Linked DNA regions of Saccharomyces cerevisiae S288C. The protein of the gene in region 2 interacts with the protein of the main gene of each other region in a biochemical or structural test. Each region holds a gene or a part of one and is shown on either strand. Other genes may lie near its edges. The genes, in order: SRX1 and PRX1.

Region 1 (3,081 bases), on a different chromosome or scaffold from region 2:
ACTGCAAAGGCGGCGCCATTATCGGCTAATAACTCCACACATAAAAACAAGGAAGTTATCACTGCACCCACAGGGCCTCGTGTACCCTTCACAGAGTTCTTTCAGAAGGAAGACGACAAGAAATTCCACATTCTCATTGGTGCGACGGGCTCAGTTGCCACAATAAAAGTACCTCTAATTATTGATAAACTTTTCAAGATATATGGGCCTGAGAAAATCTCTATTCAGTTGATTGTCACAAAACCCGCTGAGCATTTTTTGAAAGGGCTCAAAATGTCAACACACGTTAAAATTTGGAGGGAGGAAGACGCTTGGGTATTCGACGCTGTGAATAAGAATGATACTAGCTTGAGTCTGAACTTGATATTGCACCATGAATTAAGAAAATGGGCTGATATTTTCCTGATTGCGCCTTTGTCAGCTAACACACTTGCTAAACTGGCCAATGGTATATGTAACAATTTGCTAACTTCTGTGATGAGAGATTGGTCACCACTGACCCCAGTGTTGATTGCGCCTGCAATGAATACATTCATGTATATCAATCCTATGACAAAGAAACACCTGACGAGTTTAGTGCAAGACTATCCGTTCATCCAAGTTTTGAAACCGGTGGAAAAGGTATTAATATGCGGAGATATTGGTATGGGTGGTATGAGAGAATGGACAGATATTGTAGAGATCGTTAGGAGGAGAATCAATGAAATACGGAAAGCTAGGGACGAGGAAACTGGTGATAAAGAGCAAGAACAAGAAGAACAAGAGGGTGCTGACAATGAGGACGACGATGATGAGGATGACGAAGAGGATGAGGAGGACGAGGAGGAGGAAGAAGCTCTAAATGAAACAGCATCCGATGAGAGCAATGACGAGGAAGACGAAGAGGATGAGGAAGACGTGAAAACCGAAGTTTAAATGCATTAGAAAAGAGTATTTTGTGTTATGTTTTATGTTTTATTTTTTTTTTTTTTGTTTATTCCTTAAAAGAAGATTACTGCTTTTTCATTCCCTAGTTTCTAAATTGAGTGCCTAAATAAGATTAAATAAATATGTATGTGGAAACTAGGGAGGGTATGTTTTTATTTACAGGAATAGTTGTAGTAATTCAAAAGCCTAAAGATTTCCAGAACCGTAATCTAAAGCCCTCAAAACTGTTTAATTTTGGTCTAACATCGAGATAAATAAGTGGTTGTTGCTGCGAGTTTGCATCGTTCAGATCGGTGGAATAGAAATCGATTACGTAGTCGACGGTTTTACCGCATCTATCTATCTGCCAATCATGTCTATCAAAAGGTTTGGCCAGGTGCAAGATACGGGACCTGAACCAGGCCCTTGGTGTCAGTTTTTTGGAATCACCTTTAAAATTTGTTAATTTGATACCGCCACACGCTTCACCACCCTGCTTGTCTTCCCAGCTTTTAATGTAGTTCCAAACCCGCTCATTGATGGAGTTATGTAAAGGCACAACCACCTTCATGTCATCTGAGTTCGGATCCCAATTTTTTTTCATCATTGCCTCGTAAAATTGTTTCTCCGACGGGTATATCCAGTTTCTGTCAGAATTCGTCCTTGGTATGGTGGAAACCTCTCTGGACTGAGAGAGATCCACCGTGGTGTGATATTCAGGCGTTTTATCGTTATCTTGTGGGTTTGCAGAGCACTCTAGTTGATTGCCTGGGGCAGTAGCACCAGGATGCGCTTCGTTGCCATGTTCTCGTAGCCATAACTTTTTGGTTTCCTCATCTACGGGGCATTTCCCCTGTTGGTCTGAAGACATCATAATATGTAAAATAGAGACGAATGAAAAGCACGTGAACTAACAAACTATTTACTACTACCGAAATGTGATGCTTAAGCCTTTGGCCTCTGCAATACTAGCGATTGCTTTTTCCCTGATTAGTAAGCTACATCATTTATACTACATCTTTCTGTCTTAGAAGGCTTACAAACATCGAAAAGCTGGAACTTTGATTTCGAAAAAAATATGCCGTTACCCGTTGCGGGTCCCTTTTTTTTAGAAGGCCGGCCCAGAAGTCGCCATTATTTTTAGTCATTACAGTAGCCCTGTTGGGTAAGGATGCGATGCAATACATGTCAAGAGGTGTTGTATATAAACCACAATATCTACCATCAATGAGCTATATATACTTTTCTTACTGAAAAAAAAAACTACAAAACCAAGTAAAAAAAGAACAATATGTCACTACAAAGCAACAGTGTAAAACCAACAGAAATTCCTCTCTCAGAGATCAGACGCCCCCTAGCGCCTGTGTTGGATCCTCAAAAGATCGACGCAATGGTGGCCACAATGAAGGGCATTCCCACCGCTAGCAAGACATGCTCTCTAGAACAGGCTGAGGCGGCTGCCTCAGCCGGGGAACTGCCGCCCGTGGACGTGCTGGGCGTGCGAGTCAAGGGACAGACGCTATATTATGCCTTCGGCGGCTGCCACCGTCTACAGGCATACGACCGCCGGGCTCGCGAAACGCAGAACGCCGCCTTCCCCGTGCGCTGCAGGGTGCTACCGGCCACTCCCCGCCAAATCCGCATGTACCTGGGCAGCAGTCTCGACATCGAATAATGATTACGCTAATAACACTACATAAGAAACATAGATAAATTATAATTCACTAATACAAAATCCCTCAATTTAATTAATCAATTTCTTATTCAACAACTAGAGTAGGCACTAGCAGTTTGTGCGACCCTCGGCGCCGGAGAGGTACAAGGGACCTGGCGGTTGGGCCTTCCTGCCAGCTTCTCCCCCCCTTCTCGGCATTCACTCAGCGTTCATTGGCTCAATCACGCGCCAAGCGGATTCCCAGAAAAATACAAAAAAAAGTTGCCATAATACAATGGCGGATATTACAATATATATAGCTTGCGCTTTAAAAAGAAGTGTTAGCACGCATTGGGTGTTTGTACTGTATTCCTCCACTTAAGATAACGAATACACATATAGATATACAATATATTATACGTGGACATCTACGGAAAGGAAGAAAAAAAACAAAAGGAAAAGGAAGGATACCATATACAATGTTGTCAAGAGTAGCTAAACGTGCGTTTTCCTCTACAGTT
Region 2 (3,548 bases):
CCTTCTTAGGCCTGAATTGAGGATTGATTTCACAGTGGAGACCAATTTTTTCGCATCTGGAGCAAGGATGAGGGAAATTTTGACTAGCATCGCATTTGATTTTGTGCTGTCTACAATGTGTACATGAGGTAACTGGTCTATGGTTGATTTGATGACTGTCATCATGGTGAGATATTCGTTGTTTCTTACTTGGGAACTGGTGCTGTTGCAACTGTTGCTGCTCCGGTTGTCTTTTCATGTGAGCAGAACTAAAATCTTGGTCTTGGTCAGAATCTCGATTATCCTTCACCATGACGAGAATGCGTATACGCAGAGCCAATATAATCTGTATACGGGACCTTTGACATTAAGGTTTCTGCAGAGAGTTTATTACATGCATTTTCATATATATATTTTTAACGCCATTCCTTTACGGTATGTAAAGAAAAATGATCCAATGAGCGGCCCTTCGTACGAGATGAGATATAATAAGAATGAAAGATAGATAAAAGTTTTAGTTAGAGATACTTCATATACCTGTATATAGTAAAGTCGTTTATTTCAAAGCTTATTTCGACTTGGTGAATCTTAAATAGGGTTTAATTTCATTAAATTGACCAAATTTAGCCTTCGCCTCATCATTGGAGACAGAGGGAGGAATAATGACATCGTCAGCTGGCTGCCAATTAATTGGAGTTACTACGCCCTCCTTGTCAGTCAATTGCAAGGCGTCGATTACCCTTAACACTTCAGAAGTGTTTCTTCCGACGGTGGAAGGGTAGGTAAAAATCAGTCTAATCTTCTTCTTGGGATCGATGACGAAAACAGACCTCACGGTCTTCAGTGACCCATCATTGATATTTTTGAATCCTTCGGCATCTACCATATCATATAGGAATGCCACGTTTCTAAAAGTGTCACCAATTATTGGGAAACCAACATTTTTAACCTTTGCTATTTCCTTGATGTCTTGAATCCATTTTTCGTGGGACTCAACATCTTCCACTGAAAGCCCGATCAATTTAACATTTCTCTTGTCGAATTCCGGCTTCAATTTGGCGAATGCGCTGACTTCGGTGGTGCAGACAGGGGTGAAATCTGCTGGGTGAGAAAACAAGACCCCCCAAGAGTCGCCCAAGTAGTCGTAAAAATTGATTTTACCAACCGTTGTGTCAGCATCAAAGTTAGGAGCATCAGAGTTTATTCTTAGTCTTGGTTGATCACTTTGTTTGAATTGTTTGCACAGAATAGGTGCTGTGGCAAATGTTTTAATCGTCTGTGATTGCAAGTGAGCCTGCTTAGGAAGGGTCCATGCCGTCCTCTTTAATTGAGCGCTACAAATTCTACTAAACATCCTTTGCTTCCTGCTTCTTTGAAATTTATCTCATCCTACTGCGAGAATCTAGAAGCACAATTTTCTATATCTCTCCTTCTCTCTTTATATACCAATAGCAGCAACATCCGGCCCCTTGTTTCTTTACGTAATTAAAAATCTCCGGGGCTAGCTTTTGCCGGGGAACCCATCCCGAAAAAATTGCAAAAAAAAAAATAGCCGCCGACCGTTGGTCGCTATTCACGGAATGATAGAAAAATAGCCGCGCTGCTCGTCCTGGGTGACCTTTTGTATATTGTATAAAGATAAACATAGTGCTATCAGGAATATCTTTATATACACACGCATACTGAATGTGGTTGAAGTTCAAAAAATATCACAAACGTTAAGAAGTTTTACTGGTAAACATATAGACATAGTGGAGCGCTTGCTCGAGGTCAAATGCAGACGGATACGAGAGCGCGGGAGGGAAACCGGAGAAGGTCAATATGCCCATAATTCTTCTTCTTTGAGGTTGGCAATTATATATTGTATCTGAATTAGGCAAATAGAAAAGAGACCTTACCATTAGCGCCATCGTAGAGTCCCATTTCACCTTTTCTTAGTTCTTTATATATGTCTGCGTATGGCCCACATATGCGCGCACAGTGCGCGCCACCCTCTAAGAACGATAAACATAAAATAAACACATAAACAATCAACGACAGTTCGCGCTTCCCTCACTAAATATGGCGAGATAGTTAAACAATCATGGCTCGTTCTTCCTTGCCCAACCGCCGCACCGCCCAGTTCGAAGCGAACAAGAGGAGGACCATTGCACATGCTCCATCTCCAAGTCTTTCAAATGGGATGCACACTCTAACGCCGCCCACCTGTAACAATGGTGCTGCCACTTCAGACTCCAATATACATGTATATGTAAGGTGCAGATCGCGTAATAAGCGAGAAATAGAGGAAAAAAGTAGTGTAGTTATATCTACACTAGGCCCACAAGGGAAAGAAATCATTCTGTCCAACGGTTCTCACCAATCGTATTCGTCCTCGAAGAAAACTTACCAATTTGATCAGGTGTTCGGCGCAGAATCTGACCAGGAAACAGTGTTTAATGCCACTGCAAAAAACTACATTAAGGAAATGTTGCACGGGTACAATTGTACAATATTTGCATACGGTCAAACGGGAACAGGTAAAACCTACACTATGTCTGGCGATATAAATATTCTCGGTGATGTGCAATCTACCGATAATCTATTATTAGGAGAGCATGCAGGTATCATACCACGGGTTCTGGTCGATTTGTTTAAAGAATTGAGCTCCTTAAATAAAGAGTACTCCGTAAAAATATCCTTTTTAGAGTTGTACAATGAAAATTTGAAAGATCTGCTCTCTGATAGTGAGGACGATGATCCTGCAGTCAACGATCCCAAGAGGCAGATTCGTATTTTTGACAATAACAACAATAATTCATCCATCATGGTCAAGGGGATGCAGGAAATCTTTATTAACTCTGCACACGAAGGCTTGAATTTGCTAATGCAGGGTTCGTTAAAAAGGAAAGTGGCCGCTACTAAATGCAACGATCTTTCATCAAGGTCTCACACCGTCTTTACAATCACAACAAACATAGTTGAGCAAGATAGCAAAGACCATGGACAAAACAAAAATTTTGTTAAAATTGGCAAATTGAATTTGGTGGATTTGGCAGGCAGTGAAAACATCAACAGATCGGGTGCGGAGAATAAAAGGGCTCAAGAAGCTGGCCTAATAAACAAATCGCTGCTAACACTAGGCCGTGTTATCAACGCACTCGTTGATCATTCTAACCATATACCTTACAGAGAATCTAAGCTAACAAGATTGCTACAAGACTCTTTAGGTGGTATGACGAAAACATGCATTATCGCAACTATATCACCTGCGAAAATATCCATGGAAGAGACTGCAAGTACGCTAGAATATGCAACGAGAGCCAAATCAATTAAGAATACTCCACAAGTAAATCAGTCTTTATCGAAGGATACATGTCTCAAAGACTACATTCAAGAGATTGAAAAATTAAGAAATGATTTGAAAAATTCAAGAAACAAACAAGGTATATTTATAACTCAAGATCAGTTGGACCTTTACGAGAGCAATTCTATCTTGATTGATGAGCAAAATCTAAAAATACATAACCTGCGAGAACAAATTAAAAAATTCAAAGAAAACTACCTGAACCAATTAGATATCAATAATC

Evidence for each region.
Region 1: the proteins of PRX1 (region 2) and SRX1 form a complex in vitro, tested with the Saccharomyces cerevisiae proteins (one study listed by BioGRID).

The regions. Positions count from the first base shown.
Region 1 is NC_001143.9:276,084-279,164, forward strand, and holds SRX1 (sulfiredoxin), read left to right. Parts: upstream 1-2,197; coding exon 2,198-2,581; downstream 2,582-3,081. Other genes in the region: phosphopantothenoylcysteine decarboxylase complex subunit CAB3, read left to right, coding at 1-915; cytochrome c1 heme lyase CYT2, read right to left, coding at 1,106-1,780; malate dehydrogenase MDH1, read left to right, coding at 3,040-3,081. UniProt on the Saccharomyces cerevisiae protein: Contributes to oxidative stress resistance by reducing cysteine-sulfinic acid formed under exposure to oxidants in the peroxiredoxin TSA1.
Region 2 is NC_001134.8:99,824-103,371, forward strand, and holds PRX1 (thioredoxin peroxidase PRX1), read right to left. Parts: upstream 1,334-3,548; coding exon 548-1,333; downstream 1-547. Other genes in the region: SEF1 (Sef1p), read right to left, coding at 1-292; KIP1 (Kip1p), read left to right, coding at 2,063-3,548. UniProt on the Saccharomyces cerevisiae protein: Thiol-specific peroxidase that catalyzes the reduction of hydrogen peroxide and organic hydroperoxides to water and alcohols, respectively.